3 separate regions of the Mus musculus genome follow, and regions 1 and 3 are each reported to be linked to region 2. The links are microRNA targets in miRTarBase. Many come from high-throughput screens and were not tested one by one. Region 2 holds a microRNA gene; each other region holds the end of a gene's coding sequence.
What was found. The annotated mature microRNA mmu-miR-466f reads ACGUGUGUGUGCAUGUGCAUGU and lies in region 2 at 4,949-4,970, opposite strand. An mRNA with a match to its seed (bases 2 to 7 or 8) in the 3' UTR can be bound and repressed. Matches are read on the target gene's strand: a 7mer-m8 pairs with bases 2 to 8, a 7mer-A1 pairs with bases 2 to 7 and ends in A, and an 8mer does both.

Region 1 (7,799 bases), not on the chromosome of region 2:
CTCCAGAAACACACGTGTGGCTATGTCTACTGGGGCATTTCCAGAAAGGTTTAGCTGAAGAAGGATTTGGCCTGAATGTGAGTGAAATCCCAAACTGAATAAAAGGAAGGAAGCCGCCTGAGTATTTGGTCGTGAGAATTTTGGTTTCTTTTCTTCTTTTTTTTTTTTTTTTTTAACACGGAAGTGTTATAGGAATATGTTTTTGTTTTAATTCCAGGTGTAGGATATGGGACTAGTTTAAATTATGCACAGAAGCTGACTATAACTTTCCTCGTGCTGTAGCAGGAGCATGACTTTGCCAGCTGCAGATCGTTTCAGCAAGTATATGACAGTTGGAATTTTAGAGACTCTTGAAAGAGCGTATAAATGCTAGATGGGCCCCGCTCAGGGCAGCTGCTTGTGGTGCCTGCTGCTGGCAGCTGTTGTTCTGGTTTGTTGCAGTTTGTCGAGTGATCAGGTACAAAGAGAGAAGAAGAACTTGGATATCCTGACAGCAGAGATCAAACCTGCCCTGAGCAACTCCAAGACCCTAATGAGCAGGAAGTGGTCTAATGATATCGACCCCGCCCCCTTTCCTCTCTAGCCTTCCTTCTATCCTACCTAGCATTTGGGAGGGTTTGGAAGAGTGAAATAGGATTGGAGAAGGGTGGAAGAAAAAAGAACCCACAAAGTAGCCAAAAAAGCTGGTTGCAGTATCTCTCCTTCCCACTGGGGACACAATGTGACAGAAGCCGCCTCATGTTCCTATCTTCCCTTCTGTGGTGCCATGTGTCCTCGGACTGTCATGCAAAACAGTTCCTTCGTTTCTCATCTTGTTTATGTCAGGAATCTTATCCCATCAAGGAGACAAACAACTAAAACACACCTGAAAAGCCCTGCACCGGGTCATACCCACGTGGACTCAACCTTAGCGTGCCACCTTAATGTTCTGTAATTCTTAGGTTTCTTACCATCAGTGAATTCACCCACTTAAGAGTTCTGTTCAAATAAAATAATAGCAATGATAAGACCAACATCAGAAAGAATTTAGCTTCTAAGTGGGACGGACTCAAGTGTTGACATGCTACATACAGAATTCCAGGAGAGCTCAGATCCCAGTCAAACCCCCAAGCTCTCCAGAATGTATCCTCCCCACCAATAGCTCCTGAGGCTAGAATTATTGCGGGGGGGGGGGGGGGTCACCAAGCACTTGCCCCTTTCACAACTTGCTGGCAGCCGCAAAGGTGTCCTACATACATTCCCAGTCATCCTGAAAGCTGTCCCCAAGTTCTCTCAATTGAAGAATGAAATCTTCCCCAACAATGAGAGCCTTGCCTTCCTCCCAGACTCAGAAGCCAAAAGTTTCCCAGCCTTTACAGGCCTTAAACACCATTTGGAAGGTCTTGACTGCCACCTTGTGGCCAGTAAGTACACATGCCCACAGTGAGCAAGATCAAACAGAGCAAGCAAATGCTCAATTCAGCTGGGGGTTTTTAGGCTAAGAATAATGACTTCATCTTTTGAGGTGCCTAGAGGGAAGTGGCCCTTGAGTGTTCTGGCGACATCTCATGCTTGAGGGAGGTTGAAATGTTTTGTTTTTAGTGGTGGTTTTTTGAGACAAGGGTCTCATGTAGCTCAGACTGGCCTCAACGTCAGTATCTGAAGCTGACCGTAAAGTTGAGCCCAATGTCTGAACGCTGGAATTATAGGTGTGCATCACTACACCTGAGACAAACTCTTTACCAACAGAATTATGTCCCTAGCCTAACCCCCGGAAGTTGTTTTAAATGATTGGTTTCGCTCCAGGACAATTGTGACGGTCACCATCATTAGCATGCCTAGATACAGAATAACAATAGAAACACCCCTATGTCTCTGATGGTGTTTCTAGGAAGGTCTCACTGAGCTAAGAAGACCATTCCACGCTGCCCACTTGGGCCCTGGGCTGAGGAGAGAGGAGAGAGCAAGCTGAGTCCAGTCCTCATTCTGTGGGCTTCCGAACTGCGGGTGCAATGTGACAGCTGCCTCAGACCCCTACTGCCATGACTCTTCCACCATGATGGACTGGATCCTTGAACTCTAGGCCAAAATTAATCTTTGCCACTTCCTTCCTTAAGTTGCCTTTGTAGGGTATCTTGACGCCGTAATGAGGAAAGTGACTAAACTGCAGCAATCACGCCTGAGCTGACAGACAGGCTTCCAGTTGAAAAACATTTTTTCTATTTTCCCTGTGTTCAAAGAAAACTGCTTGGTAATTGTAAGAAACCTAAGAACATCTTTCCCTGTGCTCTGTGGTCTCCATTAACTTTCCCCTCCCTCCCTCCCTCCATACCTACTCTTAAGCATCCCTAGTAAAATCTCTTCACAAAGAACCCCCTCCATCCACCTCTCTGTGGCCTGCTGGGTGGCTTTGGGTACATTTCTTACCCTCTCTGTTTAAACTTATAGGAGAATTATCTTTTTGACTTTAGAAATATTGTAGGAATGGGGAGTTAACTGATAATACTCAACAGAACCCAAGTATGGCCACCAACCTTGAAATAATTACTCTCTAAAATAAGAACTGTCCTTACCCTTAACAATCTATAGCTTGAAGTTCATGGTGTTATCTGTGTTACTTTTTAAAAATAAGAAAGAGAGAGAGAGAGAGAGAGAGAGAGAGAGAGAGAGAGAGAGAGAGGAAGGAAGGAAGGAAGGAAGGAAGGAAGGAAGGAAGGAAGGAAGGAAAAAAGAGAAGAAAGAAAAGGAAGGAAAGGAAGGGAAGGGAAGAGAGAGACAAAATCTGCATGCAATGAAGACTCTAAACTCAAACTTCTAGTTGGCCAGAAACTGATGGGAGAATGGAACCAGCCCAAGCACTGCCCTCTCCTGGCTGTGGATATTGTGCACTGTGTCTTGCCTTCTCCCTGCAGACAGGCTCTCAGCCTCCAGGTTGTAGGGGATGCTGGTGGATTCTAGCAGCCTGTTCTCCTGAAAACTGCCCCCATCTGGAGAGTTGCCCTGGTCAAGGTTCCCTATTCCCCCTTCTATGGCTCCAACATGGATGGTTGTACCGCCCATATCCATTGGGACTTCTCTGAAAGATCGTACGTACCACAGTGCCCCTAAAGATGTCTCTCTACTAAACTCCAGGTGATGCTTTCCCCTGCCCCCTTTGGACCTCGTGCTTCTTCAACTATGATTATGAGAATCCTCCCACAATAAACCATCAGCTTGCAACCCTTCATTCTAGAATCTGTTATCCCAAGAACTCAGCCTAAGACATCTGTCTGCTACCTGCTCTCAGTCTAACAACATGAGTTACACTGTCCAAGGGAAAGCCAGGTCCTTACTCCTTTGTATAGATCCATTCGGTGATCTATGCCTCATCAGAATGAAAAGACAAGAGCTTTGCTGTCTACATGTGGCATTATCCTTTATGGAACTTCTGTCTCTCCTCTATCATATCAGCTACAATGGTTGGTCCTCAAACTCAACACATAGGCTCTGCCTGGAGACTTTCGCATTTGCCCTTCTCCAGTTTGGGTATGCTCTTTGTCAGACCATCTTCCTACCTCCATCCCTCACTCCTTGTAGCCTTCTAGACTCAACTGTCACCTCCTCCATGAGAACCCTATACTTAAGCCTGCAGGTCTCCACTGACATCTAGACCCCACACCCTTTCCTTACCCTGGCTTTCTCCTCGGCAGTACCAGGGTCTGGAACACTGTGTTTTCCCATATCCATGTTGCTCAGTGCCCATCTTTACTACCAAAACCTAAGTTCCCTGAAACTAAGCTGTCTTCCCAGAGGCCACTGAGAGTAACTGGTACATAGCAGCAGCTGGCTCCGCATTGATTGCAGGAGCAATCAAAGAATCTGTGTTGGATTGCAAGGCCTGAAACCTTCAGGGCATCACTTAAAGGTGTCTCATTTACTTTAGCCTTGGCAGTCCTGGAACTCACTCTGTAGACCAGGCTGGCCTCAAACTCACAGTGAGTTTCCTGCTTCAGCCTCCTAAGTGCTGGGATCAAAAGCATTCACCACCACCACCACGCTTCTAATGTTTTATTTTTGTTGTATGTGCATTAGTGTTTTGTTTGTATGTATGTCTGTGTGAGGACGTCGGACCCCCTGGAATTGGAATTCCAGATAGTTGTGAGCTGCTCTGTGGGTGCAAGGAGTCAAACCTGAATCCTCTGGAAGAGCATCCTGTGCTTTAACCACTGGGCTATCTCTCCAGCCCCTGACTTTCTCACGAAAGCCATTGTCCTATTATCTTGGTGAAGTTTGTGCAGGGCCACATTTGTGGAAGCATCAGATAATACAACTACTAAATAAATGTGAGGTATAATTTTTGATTACACTGAATCCTTCATCAGTGAGCTAATTTTTTTTAATTATGCGCAAGCCACCAGATTATTTTTAAAGCAGGAATGTGACATTCAAACACAGAAAATCCTGAAGATGTTCAGATATGTAAATGAAATATAGAAAACTTTATTCCAAAGCTACACCCAAAATGTACAGTGAAATGCATCTCCTTACAGACTTAATAAAAAAGGGCCATATCTACATTTTAGATTTTACAACAATCTGCAGATCTTCTGCTCCCACCAAAAGTCTGATAAAAAAGTTAATCCCATTAATTAAAATTTTAAATGACTGTCTTTATATAAAGTATATTCTAATTGCAAAATATTCAAATACGGTTTCAGTATGAAAGTGTCCTCAGTTTCTGGAATCCTCGGTAGTCTGTGAACACATAGGTCCCTGTGCAGCTTGAAATGAGGTAAAAGGAAGGTTTTCCAGACACAGTCTCAGATGTTTGTCCTCGATGTCCGGGGCAACATGATCCTTCCACTCCCTCCCCTTCCTGTGGGACAGCCCCTTCTTCCCCTGCCTACCTAATATCCTGCACCCGGAACAGCAGCAAACCTGTCATTTAACAATTCCTCATGTTACAATGTTTTCCAAAGAATTTTTTTGACCCAAAGGGAAGTCCTGCCTATAGAGGGCCACTATTTCCTTGAAAGGTATTTTAATAAATAAAGTCTACAACTCTTTTAACAATTCCTGAAAGGAAAAGAGAGCAAACCTCCGAGGAGCTGTTAGTCACCAATATTTTATTTTGTAGGTCGCTTCTCTAAAATTTAAAAAATGAAGTCCTTGGCTGCGATTTGCTAAGTGCATTGTAAAAAAATTAAAAGTAGCTTCTAAATGAGATGCCGCAGATGTTAATAAGACACAAGCATCACACTGTACAATAGAACAAACCCATGGTTTCTGACTGTTGAGCTATGTGCTTAGCAGTAAGAAACAAAGGCAGTCCAGGGGAAGCCTGCTGCTGGGCATCCTGTTTGCTCAGTGCCACTTTCTTGGGGCTTTTGTTTTGATTGGATAATTCACAGGTCTACCGTGTTTTTAATGGCCTTATTTTAAAAATCAAAAAACAAATAAACAGGGAAAGTGTCTTCTCTTCATGTGGCTACTTGGCAGTGTTTTACAGAGACTAGGGTTACTTCCATTCTGCCAGAGGTAGATACACACAGCCGTGTGTGCTCACAAACACTGGCCTGATGGAAACTAAGACTTCATGCCAAGTCAGCATGAAGGGTCTTCACGGCTGAAGCGTCAGTGGAGATGGTACTACAGAATGTTCTGACAGGCTCTTATCAACACTGCCATTACATTTGGGGAGAACATGATTGAAATGAGATATAGAAACAAAATTAATAAATACAACAGCATGATCTTTGTCAGGCTCTTGATGCACGGAATCTGGAGTTGACTAATTACTGGTCTATAACGTAGTCCTATAGTTTGGTCCTGAGAATCACAGACTTAGACGTGTGTGTGTGTGTGTGTGTGTGTGTGTGTGTGTGTGTGTGGTGTTGCTAGGGATTAAACCCAGAGGCCCATACATGCAAGGCCAGCATTCTACACTAAGCCATGTGCCCAGACCCTACAACCATATTTATGAACATACAATGGCAAATAACAACAGTTCTGAGTTTATCCAAATAGATGAGTTTATCCAAATAGATGAAGCCATGACACTCTGGAATCAAGATCACATTACAGTTAACAAACACATATATCAAGTCTGAAGCCACCGATGTTGACAACTTTGCATCCCCACAGGAGAGCTCTGCCACACCAATGGGCATCTGCCCACCTTTGAACTATAAAAGTAACCTTTTTCAGTGCAAAAATACCTTTGATAAATAGCAAAGACACAATAAACACATGGAAGACTTAGCATCTCCTGGAGGTGTGCTTTCATATACAAAAAGTAACTCTGTAGACAGGCATGGTGGGGCACACCTGTAAGGTGAGCACTCAGTTGGCTCAGGCAAGAGGATCACTAGTTCAAGGTCAGCCTGAGCTATATTCAGAAGTAAAACGTCATGTTTCCTCTTACAGTAGGATATGACAGGCTGTTCTGCTCCTCTGATTGTGAGTCTATGGCTGTGAGAGGGTGTCAACACTCTTGGAAACAACCTCAACACTTCTATAGCTCATCATGTTTCTTCTTAAATGGCCACTGTGGGTGCTGCAGTACATGCTCTGCAGCCTGAAGGACAAGGTACATGAATTCTTCTACATCAAAAGAGTAGTTGGTAAACTTCGGGTGTTCTCCCAGAGTTGGATGGTGACCCTGCAGAAACAAACCAGAACAAAATCCCGGAGTCACCGAAGGGTGTGTCTTTCTATAGACGTAAAATCATTTTCCTTTGGCTAACGCAACTGTTTCAACTTATGCCGTACAACATGGGCTGGCAAGCTTTTCCCACAGAGCTCCCAATGATAGTTTCAGCTCTGCCAACCATCTGCTCTCAGTCATAGATGCCCTGCCAAGGAGATGCATAATCAAGCCCAGACAATATGCAGGCAAATGTGGCGGTACCCAATAAAACTTTATTTACAAAAACAATTCGTAGGCCAGATCTGTACCATTAGAGCTACTGTTTGCTGATGGCTGCTGTATGTAAACTGATGTAAGCTGTTTTAACAACATTGAGATTTTTCTCTAACTTGCAAATAAAAAATATTAGTATTCAAGAGACGAACAGAGGCTCAGTGATGGCTTGCATTTTAATAACTGGACTCCAAACCATTTGGTGAATGTTACCTTATCCTGAGGAAATACTTTGCTGGGCTTCCGCCAGGTGATGTAGTGGATGCCTCTGAGCCTGGCCAGGTCTAAGTAGCAGCGCTCATCTTCACAGTTGTACCTAAGGACACAAGGGTGTCACACATGATGTGAGGCCTTTGACCAGGAGGTTCCCTAGTGCGTAATGTTCTATGGCGGAAAACATCCACTTCCCAAATGTGGTCTTACTAAAGGTTTTGTAAATAACAAACAGGAGAGAAAGAATTTTACACACATTCTCAGGGTGCACTGTGGTCATGCTGGGCTAGCATGCATAAGGCCCTGGGTTTGAGTACAGCGCAAAAAAATGAGTTTAAATTCATACCCTCAATACCTTGCCTTGATTTTTAAAGAGTCAGAGTAAGACTGAGGAGTGGGCACCTTATTCGATAGGTCCTACTGCCTGTGAACTGGAGACTGTCTTGTAAGATATTATCTTTACATACATGGAAAGAATATGTTACCTCTCTGTATCCAAGGAGGTAGTACATTACCTTACAGGTTAAGCAGTTGCTTAAGGAAGCAAGCAGATAGCCCACCCCAGGTCTGCTGGGCTGCCATATCTCATCCACACCCCACCCCCTTTTCCCTTTTTTCCATGCTCCCCTCTCTAGGACCAATGAATTATGACAGAATTCACAATTACCTTCTACCTCACAAGCAGCTTGAAAATGTTTTGCCAAAT
Region 2 (7,799 bases):
ATAAATGCTTACCTGCACAAGATCAAGCCAGTCAAAATTCTAGGACACGGGTGGAGACAGGCTGCCACAGATGCACCTTAGGTAGAGGAGGTTCATGTTTTGAATGCACATTGACAAGAGCTATCTTACACGATGTCTTGTTCTTCTACCCAGTCAAGCAGTATTTACACCACTATTGTGCTCTGCCAGGCTATCTGTGCGCAGGGAGTCCTCAGACCTGCCTCTGCTTCTTTTCTGTGCATGTGCTGGGAACACAGGTGAGCTTAGCCAGCTGCTAGAACCAGATGAGTGACTTAGCAAACCTCATCAGGAGTGAGAAGAGAAAGACTGCCAGCAACATCAGGTCGCAGAACTCCCCCAGAGTGGAAGCTAGCTGGTGGTGACTCAGTGGGATAGCGTTCAGGAAGCTCAGGGAAAGGGAGGTTGGGAAGGAATGTGTAAGGGAACTCTGTGTGATGTGGTGGTTTCCCCAATAGAGTATATTGGGATTCAGAGTCACACTCACTGAGGGACAAAGGGTGACTGTGATGCGGTACATGTACACCCAGCAATGCAGGTACAATACTCTCAGCAATGGAGAATTAAAAACATACATAAAAATCTGCTCCTAAAAGCTTGTGACAACATGGAGCTGGATAGGTGGTTCAATGGTTAAGAGCACGGACTGCTCTTACAGAGGGCCTGAGTTCGGTTCCCGGCAACCACACCAAGCAGTACACAGTGATTTGCAATACCAACTCCAGGAGAACTAACCCACTGTTGTGGATCCTCGGGCAACTGTGTGGACTTGGTACACACATAAACAAGCACACACATATACACATAAAAAAAACCGATTAAACGTCTATAGCTAATTATTACCCTATTTAATAATAATCAACTTATTGTGTCCTCCAAGATTAGAAAAAGCTATGAATATTTGAAAAAAATCCACTTTGTTTGCGTGTGTGTGTGTGTGTGTGTGTGTGTGCTCCAGGGTATCAGACCCCTGGAGCTGAGGTTACAGGTGGTAGCCCCCTGCCTTATGTTTGTGCAGGGAATCAAACTCTCACCCCTCGGAAGAGCAACAACGTGCTCCCCTGCCTTCAGAGTCGCTCCACTGTGGTCTGCTCCCTCCTCCTACATTGAGAGATTTTGGTCAATACCATCCAGCAACATAAATCACCAAAAATAGGAGAACAATAGCAAATTATTTTTATTTTAAATGAAACTATTACGCAGAAACTCTGGTAGAAACTTCCAAAATCGGAAACTAGGGAATTTTGTAATAAACAAATGACAAAAAAACTAATTGTGTTTCTATCCACTATAAATGAATAATCTGAATTTTAAAAATCAAATACCAAAACCATTTATAAAAATACCATTTATAGACATGAAAACAACGTGCAGAAACTGGACCCTGGAACGCGCGTGACTTTTGTGAGAACTTGCAGAGACTTGAAACCATAGACGCTCACGTTACATGGGGGTGGGAGGCTTAGCATCATGATAATGCCATTGCTTTGCAAAATGGTCCAGAGACCTCAGCAGATGTTTCTGGCAGAAACTGACACACTGTGTTTTAAATCCTTATGAGACACAAAAGAGCATCAAAACTACATTAAGAATTTAGTAAATCAGATAAACAATATAACCTCGCCTGTATACTGTTCCTGGAGTAGAACTTTAGGGCTGAAGTATTATGAAAATGGGAAAACGTCAAGAAAAGAGTTCTAGATGGACACGCAGAACCACAATAATCTCCATCAAAATCCCTATGACGACATTATCCCAAAAGTCATACGAAAATACAAAACACCTTGATTACCCAGATCAATGCTAAGCAAAAGGAAGAGATGACAAAAGTGATTACAATTATGGGTCAGAGTTGTGACTGTGGGATGGCAACCCCATCCCTCACTTGATGTCCTGTCTTTCTGCTGGAGGCGGGCTCTATAAGTTCCCTCTCCCTACTGTAGGTCATTTTATCTAAGATCCCTCCCTTTGAGTTCTGAGGGTCTCTCACCTCCCAGGTCTCTGGTGCATTGTGAAGGGTCCCCCCAACTTTCTACATCCCGAAGTTGCCTATTTCCATTCTTTCTGCTGGGCCTCAAGACTTCAGTTCTTTTTGCCCACTCAATACCAGGTCAGGTTCCCCCCACCCCTGTCCGCTTTCCCTCCCAGGTCCCTCCCTCTTTGTGATTGCTTTCATTTCCCTCCCAAGTGGGACTGAGATGTCCTGTAGAGGAGCCTGAGGAAAAGAAGGTCCAGCGACAGGCCCAAAGTGGGATCCAGCTCAAGGGGAGTCCCCAAGGCCTGACACTATTTCTGAGGCTCACAAGAAAGGACCTATCATGACTGTCCTCCAAAAGACCCAAGAAGCAGCTAAAAGAGTCAGATGCAGATATTTGCACCCAATCATTGGACAGAAGCTGCTGACCCCCGTGGCTGGATGGATTAGGAAAAAGCTGGAAGAAGCTGAGGAGGAGGGCGACCTGTAGGAGGGCCAGCAGTCTCAATTAACCTAGACCCCCGAGATCTCTCAAACACTGGACCACCAACCAGGCAGTATACACCAGCTGATCTGAGGCCCCCAACACATATACAGTAGAGAACTGTCGGGTCTGTGTTTAGTCAGAGAAGATGCACCTAACCCTCAAGAGACTGGAGGCTCCTTGGGGTTTAGAGATCTGGTGGGGTGGGGGTTTGGGAAGATGGGGACAGGAAGCCTGGGAGGAGGTATGGGATGTGGAAAAGTCAGAAGGTGGACTGGGAGGGGAAAAAAATCTAGAGTGTAAATAAATAAATGATTAAATAAAATTACCAAAAAGAAAAATGAAAAGAAAAGAAGAGAAAAGAAGAGAAAAGAAAAGGAAAGAAGAGAAGAGAAGAGAAGAGAAGAGAAGAGAAGAGAAGAGAAGAGAAGAGAAGAGAAAAGAAATCATTACAAGGCCAAAACATTAACAACAGCATGATACCAGCATACAAAGAGAGACCAACAGGATAGAATTGCAGCTCCAGATTCCCAATCACACAGCTACAACCATCTGATTCTTCACAAATATCCAAAAGTAAACAGGGAAATTCAGCCTCCTCAACAAGTAGTGTGGAGATGTCCGTCTTCACACACAGAAGGCTCTGCTCTCTCACCCTGTACAAACCCACCCCACCCCAGTGTATGACCGGAAACACCTAAACTCCTAAAGTAAAACAGGGAATACTCCAGAGTCCAGGAATGAACAACGACTCTAAACAGGACTCCAAACAGGAGCAAGAACTAGCCAGTGGGATCCCTCGGATGAAACGATCACTCACAACTACTAAAGCAGCGGCAGTTCTCAACCTGGAGATCACAACCCTGTGGGGGTCCAACGACCCTTTACAGGGGTTGCGTAGCCAACATCCTGCATATCAGATATATGTATTATGATTCATAACAATAGCAAAGTTACAATTACGAAGTAGCTACAAAAATAATGTTACGGTTGGGGGCCACCACATCATGAGGACATGTACTAAAGGGTCGCAGTTGTTAGGAAAATTGAGAGCCGCGGTTCTGCTCTAAGGGAAAAGCAGGCAAATGCTGGTAAAGAACTGGTGGGGTCATGAGCTGGAGCAGCCACTATGAACTCAGTGGAAGTAAGAGTTTGTCGTTCATGTGATCCTGCTGTGCCCTTCTGGGCATACAGCCAACGAGTGAAGATCAGCCTACCACACATACCTGCATGGGCAATCGCTGACTCATGCGGCCAATCCAGGCATCCATCAACAGATGAGGCTACAGAAAAGACTCAGTGGAGTTTCACTCAATCATGTAGCATGCAGTCAGGATGTCTGCAGGAAAATGTCTAAAGGTGGAGATCATAGCAACGCTAAGTGAAACAAGCCAGTCATCACAGACAGGCTCTCTGTCTTTTTGTATGTGCACATGTGCACATAACAGGAGTAACAAACGGATGTGAAGCAGGAGAGGAAAACCCTGTGAATGTGTAAGCGGAAGAGAGTGCGAGAAACAAACCCAGAAGAGGGTGGGTGTGCCACAGCGCTTTGTGTCACATGAGCGAAAGCTATAATGAAACCTCTCGCTCTGTACAGTCGCTGTGTGCTCATGAGAGACGCATTCACAGACACACACGCCTACAGCTGATTTTTGATAGGGCAGCAAAGACAGGGTAGGCATGTCAGGCTCATCTGTCAACAACAGGGTTCAATAAAACAGCTTCAAACTGTACCTGAAAGAACTTGCGAAAATTGACCCACTGGGGCCCAATATAACAATGAAATATAAAACTAGAAGGAAGTGTCAGATACTTTATGATATAGGTCTAGATTAAAATGCGATGTAAAAATTACAAGTCAGGGGCTGGGGCGATGGCTCAGTTGGGAAAGTGAGTGTCCTCGAGTCTGAGGACCAATGTTGTGATCTCCAGCACCATTCAGAAGTCAGGCATGGCGGCCCATCTGTAACATTAGCTCTGAGTGGTACTGGGAGGAGCGATGCTGGGGCCTCCTGTCAGCCAGTCTTGATATGGGTGAAGAGCAGGTTCTCTGAGACTCCAATTCATAAAAACAAATAGAAAGAGACAGAGGAAGACACCCAGGGTCTGACCTATACCCATTTACAAATACATGGAGACACTCACACACACACACACACACACACACACACACACGCACACACACACACACACACACGATCACATGCACACACACGCATGCACACACACAGTCACATACAGGGATACACACATGCACACATACATGCACATACACAGATACACACATGCACATGTGCATACAACATACAGAAATATACCCATATACATACACATGCCGACACATGCACATACACTCACATACAGAAACACACACTCACATACATACACATATGCACATTCACACACAAGTAGACACACAGATATAGATGCACACACATGCATGCACACACTCACATACAGATACACACACATGCACATGCACACACACGTAGACACACAGATGCAGATGCACACACTCACATACAGATACACTCACATACACAGATACACACATACATGGATGAACAGATACAGAGATACATACACACACACAGATAAACAGGATGACAGACACACCTACACACACACAATGTTAACCACAGCTTCATGGGCACTGGCAAACAGAATCTTGCACTTGGCCATGAGGACATGGGTGGGCATTTACTGTTCAAACGTGGATGGATATAAAATATCAAAATGAGGGCTCTGAGCAACAGGAGTTAGAGAAACAGGATGCTTATTTAATTAGTTGTAACAAGATGTTGCAACTCTACTTCAGTAGCTGTAAACACCCTGCATTCCCCCTGGAAAACATCAGGAGCTGAGGGAGAGGACTTAGCACGTAATGTGATTGGATCATACGTTTGTTTATTAGGCCCAGTCTCAGAAATGAGGATGTATGTCAATCAAAACCTAGCATTGAACAGGACATACTTTGCACATTTTCTGTTAAGGAGGCCTGTGATGGTTTGAGTATGCTTGACCCGAGGAGTAGCACTATTAGGAGATGTGCCCTTGTTGGAGCAGGCGTGGCCTTGTTGGAGGAAGTGTGTCACTGTGTGGGTGGGCTTTGAGTCACTCCTCCTAGCTGCCTGGAAGACTGGTCTTCTAGCATCCTTCAGAATAAGGTATGTTCCTTCTCCAGCGCCATGCCTCTCTGGATGCTGCCATGCTTCCTGCTGCGATGATAATGGACTGAAGCTCTAAACCTGTAAGCCAGCCCCAATTAAATGTCCTTTAAAAGGGTTGCCTTGGCCGTGGTGTCTCTTTACAGCAATGGGAAGACAAGGGCTCACTGAGACTTATTTTTCAAGTCCCGTTGAGATCTCTGTCTACCCCAGACCCTTCCTGAAGTGTTTATTTGTCCTTAGATTTCCATGACCCTCCCGTCTGCATGAAGGTTTTTTTTGTTACCTTTGAGTGATGGGCATAATTTATCAGAAGCTACGAGGACTGCTCGATACTGGGGAAATGCCCCTGCTCGCTGCTCGAGACATGGTTCTGCCCATTGGCACAATAGCTGTGTTGTTGGGGCTGCCTGGGTTTTGCCTGGAGTGATGTGTTTAATAAGGAGGAAGGCACTATCCGCATTTTAGTTTGTGTTTTAGGGACAAGTCTCAGGTGGCAGAGACTGTCTCAAATTCATATAGAGTCCAAGACTACAAAAGGCCCCTGTCTCCCCACCGACCCTACCCAAAGAAAAATAAAAACACAGAAAACTTAAGGCCAACGTTCTCCAGAGGAAGGACTTGCAGCGCATCTGGATTGTTTTAATTTTATTTTATTTTATTTTTTCCTGTTACCACTCCCCTTAAATAAATCTCAGGTTTAAGGAGGTTACTCAGGAGGTCAGATCCACTGTTCTGTCTTTGAAGTTGGGATTCCCCCGACTTCAGCAATGCTGTTCACGGTTCAGGTATGAGAAGGGTTTTAAGGGAACTTCACTCTAGAGACTTCTAGCTCTCAAGCGCAAGTTGCCTGCTCCGTAATCAGCTTTGCCATCTGACTGCTGTATCAGAAGGTATTCACTTAGCAGTAATTAAGAGGAAAAGCTGATTTTTATTGGTTCCAACTGTTAAAGAATGTTTGCCTCGCACCCTGGCAGCTGCGGTGCACCAACGGGGCAAAGGCTGTCTTCGGCTGCCACCTAGCGTCCGCCTTCGGAAGCACGGACACTGTTTCCCCTTCGCTGAGGCCAGCAAAGGGGTCTGTGAAATTCCCCGCTGCTCACAAAGGAAAAATGATTTCCCTAAAAGCCACAGTGCTTTTTAGAGACCTTGGCCGCGGTCCAATTTAGCTTTACAGTAGGGGGGAGAGGCAAGAAGAGAAATGAGCCGTTTGATTTTGTGTTGCTGAATGTATTTTAATAAAGATTTTGAATGCATGTTTTAAGTAAATTCCCAGGCGCTGCAGGGCAGCTGGACATCACGAGAGGAAGAGGAGCTAGTGTAATCCAGAGGAACCCAAGTCACAATTACAGCGTTCACTCTTTCCTCATTTACAGTTCATGAAGGAAGCAGTGCCGTCTCGCTTATTTCATTGTTCATCTGTCTTCTAAATTCGAGTATTAGAGCATCGAGCCACTCTGAGGACGAAAAAGAAAGCAGGCACGTTAGGAAAGCCCCCAAATGTTCTGAAGCACCAGGGAAACCAAACGATTGCTCCCAAACAGCCCGTGAAATTGTCACAATTACCTCCCGAAACCACAGGGTTCTCCACGTTATTTTTCTCTCTTCCCAGCTGACTCAGAAGGAAAAGATCCAGGGATCTCTCTCAATTTAAACTGCAGGGTGGGAGGAGGCTGTCCCGGCGTGGTGCAACTGCTCTGTGAAGGATCTAACTTCAAGGCACCCGTGGCCTGTGACCCGGAGAAGGAGTTTGCAAAGTCCTAAGCCTAATTTCCAAATTTTGCACTTGAGAAAGCGGAAGCTCTCAGGAGCTGAGCATCTCTGGGCGATTACACAGCTGGTTAGAGCCGGAGCAGGCTTCTCACTGGGGTGTGCTCTCCCCTTCACTGCCTTCTCTCAACTCAATATTAATATTTATGTGCCCTATGCATGAACATACTCTGCCACATCCTACAAGACAAACATACACCTTCTAGGAGTTGGAGGGAATACGTTCTCTCACACATGCACATAGAGGAAAGCAAAGCATCCCAGCTTATAAAACTGTCTGGATTTAGAACAGATCATATCTAAAGCACCATCATGATTTCTGTGTTCTAGAACCCGAGTGTTTTCAAGATGTTTGAACAGTTCAGGGACCTTTTGCTCTGGC
Region 3 (7,799 bases), not on the chromosome of region 2:
AGACCAAAGCACTTTTCATCTTTTATGATTGAGGAAGGGTTCTCTATACACATACATTTTCTTTGGGATAATCTAGATTTTCAATTCCAGTGGGTAATTCACTTATAGGCAAGGCAGAAGGGCTAGAAATGCTAAGTTTGTCAAACTTAAATCCCAATTTATCTTTTAGCTTGAATCACATGCACTCGTTATACTTAATCCTCTCCTTTGTTTGAATGATTGAAATACAGTCACTATGTTTAAGCTTCAGCATGGGACCAAGTGGTGGTGGGCATGTACATGTTATAAATTCATTGGCTATCTTTTGTGATGCTTCAAGGCTCATCCCTACTAATTTATGGTTGATAGCTCTGGACTTAAAATCTTATCACTGGCTAACCAGGGTGTTAGAGCATTTGCATAGCACACAAAGCCCTGGGCTGTATTCTCAGCACCATACACAAAATTTCATCTTTCTATTGTCCTTATGAAGATGCATTCTTATGACTTAGAGATTCACAAGGAAACGTCCACGTAAGGATGCTGGTGAAGTAGTGAAATTATGGGGGTAGTAAGGCTGAAGTGGGCATTCTTAACTATAAAATGAATATATGCTTCCATCTTCTATTGGCTAAAAACAGCTGCTCAGATTGTCAGGGCGTTTGTTGTATAGCCATACAACAAACTGACTTAGTGATCAGAAGCTGAAGGGAAAATTAAATAATTTTTAGCCAACTGGCCCTGAGCTACGGGATACATGTAAGGCTTGGGTTGTTTGTAGCTTTGGTCTGTTTTCCATCTTTCTCTCTCTTTCTTCCCCCTTTTTTCCTTTTGCAGTCCTGGGGATGGAACCCAGGGCCTTGTTCATCCAGGCAAGTGCTGTACTAATGACCTATGGGTGCAGATCTAGTTATATGCCTCCAAGAGAGTTAGCAGTGTATGAAAAGCAACATTTCACAACTACCCTTAGCCTAGGATGGGGTCCTTAGTGTGAAAGACATCTGTCTTAAGATGGGAAGGATTCAAAGTGCCAGAGATGATCTGTCCCTTAACCTTTCAAACTTCCAACTTTGCTAAGCCTCAGTGCCTTGGAGAACAACAAGAAGGCTCCTTGGCTATCTGCAAATGTGGAGTGAGAACTGGCAGAGTAGGTTAAATTGACATCATTTTCCAGGGTCCATCTTCTATAAGATTTGGGCTGCTTCACTTCTGTTTAGTTAAAACATTAACAATTTTTCACTTAAATCCACATTAACTGATATAATTTTAAACTACGAAGGATGAGATCTGTTTTAATTAGATTTGAGAGTAACTAACTAGCTTGTAATGTACAGAGTAGTTTCTCTTCTTTCTATAATTGGAAAAAAGAAAATCTCTACTGGGAACCTTATCCATTATGTAGTATAAGCATTCGTGTGTGTGTGTGTGTGTGTGTGTGTGTGTGTGTGTGTGTGCGTGTGTGTGTGTTTTTACAGTGGGAGTTAATTCAAAAAGCAAATAACTTTTGCTAGTAGCCTTACGAAAAGAAGTGCTTTGTATTCTCACTCAGTGCTGTTAGGGGGATCTGGCATGTGTTAGCAGTCTGAGCTTCTGGTGGGCTGTAGCCAGCTAGCAAGCCCCCTCAACAGTACTGCTACACTATGCTTCCACTAATTCTTAGAGCCTCAAACAGCACTCTCACTAATGCTCCTCTATTACCACAGACTTCTTACATTGTCAAAAGCTCCAAGGATTGCTTTCATGGACTATGTACATAAGTGCAAAAAAAAAAAAAAAAAAAAAAAAAGATGGGTCTCACACATTCGCACCCTAACTGGGACAGTCGGGGAACTGCAGCATATGTCTCTTAAACACTGTTCAGGGGCTCTTCTATAGTATCTTTATGTGTGGCTTCACAACCATGGGTTAATCTCAACATGTTTACTTATGCTTTAATCCTCACATATAGTTTTTGTGAATAAAGCCAGAAAATATAATCTTTTTATAACTACAGATACTACACGAATAGGTAGTTTTGAATAAAGTTGTGAAAAAAAGGCCAGGCAATATCAATGTCGAGCTTGTTCTACTGTAGAATAACCCTATCAACCCAACCAATTCTTTAAACGATAAAGCCCAATTCTAGAATCCATGTGTTATAAACTTCTTTTTCGAATCAAATGTTAACATGAGGACACAAATTCAGCTTTCATATATGGAACACAGGGCTTCAAAAACATCATCAGTTTTCTGAGTTTTGAGCTGTATCTTCAATATGTTTGCACTGTCATGAACCACATATAGCTTACACATAAAAGTTTTACATGCATAAATGTCTAAAGGTAGCCATGTTGTAGTTTTGTTGCCAAGGCAACAACTAAATATATTTAGCTGACATCTATCATTTGTGTACAACGCTAAATTTGTTCTTGAACTGTGGATTGTAGAGGGTAGTTCTGGACTGTATCTATGCTGAATTACGCTATGGTCTCAGTTTAGAGCCTACAGAGATGGTCTGAATAGAAGTGGTAAAACCTTAAACCTTCTCCAACTCTCCTTCAAAATTAAACTCATTGGATACTTAGATATAAAAATGTAGTACAATTAAAACTTTAAAAACTAACAATAAGAAAAACGAAAACATGGCACCAATTAGTAACTTGGTACTCAGAGCCTGTATTTATAATCACATTTACAGTTTATAGTTTGATTAGACTATCTACTAAACTTTCAAAAAAAAAAGCTAAACTCTCTTATTTGCTATTTTATTCTACTATCTCTAACAGACTCCGGTAAAATTAGGCCACTATCTTATTAAATCTACAAATCAAAACTTGGAATCAAATCCATCAAATGAATCAAACCGAATCAGACACCCCTCCCCCCAATTTTACTCATTTCCATTTCAGTGAAATGTAGAAGAGCTTTCTTTTTTTTTTTTAAAGGTGGAGCGAGAACTTTGTTAGTAAGCCTTCTGCATGCCACAGCCTATCCCACAGACCGCCAGATCTTCGACAACCTTGGCTGCATTTTGTCTAGGGGCCTCCTTACCAACACTCACCAAAGACAAGGAAGAGAATCACCTGGCATTCCGAGGAGCTCATGAGCGCCTCAGCTGCCTCTTTCCCTTCCTACAATGTACTGTAGCTGCTGTTCGTCCTCCAAACAGCACTGTCTCACTCCTTATGCTGTTAAAGTGAACCCAAGCACAAAATACTAAGTTAATTTGGTTCCTGCTGAGAGTTGAGAGCAGGAGAGTTGAGGGTCCCATGAGTGGACACAGTCGAGTGGCATAGGACAACACTTATGGCAAGATCACAGTGTTTTAGGATGCTCAGAGATGAACGGCAGAGCAAGACTGATGGAATAGCAAGCAGACTGCTTTCATGAATAGATGAAAACTGAAAATTTATCTAGAAAAGTCAAATGAAAAGCAATAGCTAGGTGTGGATTCATGCTCCAATTTCAAAAGTAAACACTGTATTTAAATAGCAGTTGTACGAATCCATTCAATTTCATTCTAGTTCCTACTCATTACGGTCTCATGGTTTTTTGCAAAAACTGAAACTAAGCTCTTCTTAAATGACAAATTTAGATTGCTTATTTGTAGGTTTGACACATTTTATCCAAGTTTCAGTGTTCTTGCAAATTTTGGCAAAAGGCTGAGATGGACAAAGCCAATAATTTTGGAGAAATAAAAATAGAGGCCATGGCAAAACACAAAAACTAAAAAATGCTAACTAGAAATCACATCTGATTAGAATTTGGTTTATATACAAATACTTGGGTAAATTTTCATTTAGAGTCACTGATTGGTTGTGACTGGTCTGGTTAACTCAATTTATAGTCAAATGACTTGTCTTTTCTTCAATAAGATCATTAGTCACTGCACAACTAGAGTGCCAGCTTAAAGTTTCATTTCCCTCAAAACTCCATCAAATTTGATCAAAATGTTCGAGTTTTGAGCTTGCTTTCTTAAGCTTCATGTACATTGCAACTTTTAAAATGCTAACACTTATATTAAACTCATCGCACCAAAAAGACAACTACCCTGAATGTTCCCCACTGAATCTCCTCCTAAATATAAGTCAACATTAATATCTTCCAGTGCTTAGAGCAACAAGAGAACAACTCTACTCTAAGTTTATCATCTACATATATCTTGATCAAAATTTTAAGAAGTTAAACCAGATAGTATGTTGCACCAAAGTGTCAAACTACAAAAAGTTTATTTTGCACAAAACATTTCCATATCCATTAATAACTACATCTAGACTAGCTCAGGTAGATTCTTCCTGGAATTGCGATGTTAGAAAACAGAAATATAGTGGTTCAAAGAGCCCACAGGTAAAAGGACAGACAACTCTCAATCTCTTAGCTCCAGGCAATAGTCAACAAAGGGCGGAGGTCCAATATAAAAACAAGAGTATTTAGCAATCACTGGTAACCAGGATTCACCTGGATAATTAAGATCAATGAGATACCATCCACCAGAGGTAGTTTTGCTTTTTTAAAATGCTGAGCCGATCTGATCTGCTTTGCATAGGAGTCTCAAATGTTCCAAAGAAAGATGTAAAGAGGGAGAGCAATTGGTTCCCACAATGGCTAGGCAGCCAGCCTGAGGCAAGTCACACAGTCTGGCTCTCTGTTTTACCAACCGTAGAAAAGGCAATAAAGTCTTTGCCAATGTCACTGTTTGGCAAATCAATCCAACTACCTGTCTTATGATATCCTGGACAGTCTCTCTTTCCTCCCGATTTTCATGAAGAAAAACAACTGTTATATGTACAAAAATTTGATTTTATGCTTTCTGGTGGGAGAATATATACTGAGTATAAAATATTCAATTTACTTAGGCTTTTGGAAAATACATTTCCTCCCTCTTATAACAATAGTAGTGCTAAGTAGAAGAAGTACACTATATGTCACAGAAATAGATGGATTACCATATTTGTAGCTTATTTCCTAAGTATTAGTTAAGAAGAATTCATATCACACCTCCATGGGGCTATTGCTATTCTCTATTAACCAAAGGATGTTAAAACTAATTTTGAAACACACACAAAGGCAAGTAAGTTCAGATGTGACAAAAATAGGTTTGGTTCTGAGACAAAACTGAACAAATCATCATCTCCCCCCCCCACAGCCAACCCTCTGATGTTAAAGTTTTGGCAGAGAAACCCTTGTCCATACAGTAGCACAAATGCTTGCTAATTCACTGCTGCCTTTACAAAAACTGGAAACTCAACTAAATTAAACTAAACCGAAAGACAACTTCGGAAACCTTTTCTAGTTCTTTTGCACATTCCCAGTCATTTTAAATCTCTCCCTGCCCCCATTCCTGCCATTTCTCTAAACCTGTACTCAGCCTCCTTCTGTGATCAATAGAAAAGATGGTCCATTTGGGGAGGCAAGGCCTCATTTGGAAACAATTTTCTTTCACCTGGCCTGACTTTTGCCAGACTGCATCTTACTTATTATTCAAAGAATAGTCAAAAGAGCACGAGCCATTTGCATTTGGAAAACAGCATTTGTGCAAAAGGTTACAATGCAAAGGGTTTACACACTTTCTTCCAGTACATAAAAACTGTCTCCACGCCCACATCTCTCTGCTTGATTTTCAGCCTGTGATTAGTATACCTTTAAAGTAGTTAGTACCAGTTTCTCAGCTGAAGATGACAAATGGCTCAAATTTAGACACTCAAGCTGAGAGATAGGATTCCTGTAACACAATAAATGTAATGGCTACTCTCCGTAATTTTTATACATGCTAAGAAATTTATTGGAATGTGAACACTTGATTCTCAAATTATTTAAGAGGAATGGTTTGAGGTTAACATTTGAACTTTCCTATCACATGTAGGGAAGTTTTTTTCTCTTTTAAAAATTTAGTATATTATTGACTATGCAAGGTCAGATCTACAGGTAAAATTCTATATATGAAGAGATTTTGTGCACACTCAGAAGTGAGGCCTCCGGAAACTTGCAGAAATGTTTTAAAGAGGGCATATTACCATGAACCTGTCACATTTTTCAGTCACATATAGTTCTGTTCACCACTTATGATGCTTTAATTGAAATCAAATATCACGTATAAACAAGAAAACACTATAGCATGAAAGAGCTAAGCAGAACCCAATTTAATACAATATACCAATGGAGGAAAATGGTGTGGGAAATATCAGTTACATTCTACATCAATCCTATAGACTATCTTGTAAACAAAACAGTAAGGTAACACTTCCAAAACAGAATTTATCCACCAAGAGTATACAGTAAGCCTACAGTACACTGTGGAAGTTCATTTATTATAAACCATTACTGGAAAGCAGTCACAACATTTTACAGTTATATTCAATATGGTAATTCATATCATATGGAAAATTCATGTAATATGGATCTGATAATTCATATACATGACAAACCTGTATGGTTGTATATTGTATGCTAATTCATATACAATGAATCCGTATAAGGTAACACATACTGGTTAATTTTCTATTTGCTTTAACATCTCCACAGATTTTTAAAATTTGAATTTGTCAACAGGTATATGCGCTTTAGTATATTGACTGCACCATGCTTATTGTCGTGTTGGTACAAGAAGACATACGAGAATACATATAGAAAGGCCACACGGAGTTTCTTGTTGAGAGATTCTGATACTCTGTAACTCTGCTGCTCAATATTTCAACTGAAATAGAAAACAAAACAAGAGTCAGTAAGAAATACTGAAGGGCTATTGAACAACGTGTCAGGAGACCTGACACAAGTTTTTATTCCACTTCTATATATGGACTAATAATCCAAGATATTCTTCACTCTGAATTTCAGACCCTCTGTGACAGTGGGCTAATTAAATCATTAAACAGACACACTGCTGGGATAGTCTATGGGAGGTTCCAATGGTGGGCCATTTTTAAGGTATTATCTATATAATGCCAAAATTTTTGCTCATCACCTAAATATTGGTTCATCTCATTCAAAAGAAACGTGCCTTCAAAATGTACTTAATACCAAACAGTTTGAAAAGTTCCAATAGTAAGCAGTGTTACACTTTTATCAAACGATCCTACACCTTTGTAGAAATATCCTGAGTAAGTCATACACTATTATACAAAGTGACAGGTTTGATCTTCGAAGAAAATCTCCACAACTGTCACATGTGAATATGATTATTCTCTGCCAAACACCTCATTTACCAAAGGAATCAAGTGGAAAAACAAATCATTCTTCCCAAACCTATTTTACGTAAAGCAATTACGTTCAATTTTCTTTGCCTTGATGTATAGCTCCCTTTGAGAACTTAGCAAGCACTGGACAAACCTCCATTGTCATGCTTTCCCAAGTTGCTGCTATTCCAAATAACACCTGCAAAATGATTCTAACTTCTAGCTCCTTCAGTTTTTCCACCTTGTTGGAAAACATTCCTTATGATTGGGGGAATCTGCTTATATAGGGTGCAATAGCTGTGGGCTTTGTCTGAAACAGTATCAGGGACCTCTTGATGGGAGATGGGTAACTAGGGCACAAGCAAGCCGATCAGCTGCCTCCTCCAACCAAATGCTAGACTGCAGGTGGGAGCCATTCAAGCTTACTTCATTGAGAACACAGTTCCAAACGGTTCACGTGTTTGTTAGCTGTCTAGGGTTCTTAGGTATATTCAACAGTGTTCCCCGTGAGTAACCCCTTGGATTTACGTGTGTGCTACTAATGGTCCCTGATCTAGGCAAAGTAGAGGTCAGGAATTAAGAGTGGGAAAAGAAGTAAAATAATTATTAGATCATTAAATTATTTTGTATTTCATTCAAACTTCAAACCAGCTGGAGCAATTCTACTTG

Region 1: the mRNA of Eogt is a reported target of mmu-miR-466f. Seed matches in the 3' UTR shown: 7mer-m8 at 5,808-5,814 and 7mer-m8 at 5,512-5,518.
Region 3: the mRNA of Mbnl3 is a reported target of mmu-miR-466f. Seed matches in the 3' UTR shown: 7mer-m8 at 1,434-1,440 and 8mer at 1,391-1,398.

The regions. Positions count from the first base shown.
Region 1 is chr6:97,105,588-97,113,386 of GRCm38, forward strand. Eogt (EGF domain-specific O-linked N-acetylglucosamine (GlcNAc) transferase) reads right to left here. Exons shown (of 18, transcript NM_175313.5): 17 at 7,094-7,196; 18 at 4,437-6,619. The coding sequence ends at 6,473. Among named protein-coding and RNA genes, the nearest start is that of Eogt, 39 kb to the right of the region's middle.
Region 2 is chr13:71,104,279-71,112,077 of GRCm38, reverse strand. It overlaps Mir466f-4 (microRNA 466f-4), which reads right to left and starts at 4,989; the gene lies at 4,869-4,989. Gm40997 (a long non-coding RNA gene) reads left to right here and starts at 5,651. Exons shown (of 3, transcript XR_873655.1): 1 at 5,651-5,730.
Region 3 is chrX:51,114,367-51,122,165 of GRCm38, forward strand. It overlaps Mbnl3 (muscleblind like splicing factor 3), which reads right to left. Exons shown (of 8, transcript NM_134163.5): 8 at 1-6,652. The coding sequence ends at 6,641. Among named protein-coding and RNA genes, the nearest start is that of Mbnl3, 88 kb to the right of the region's middle.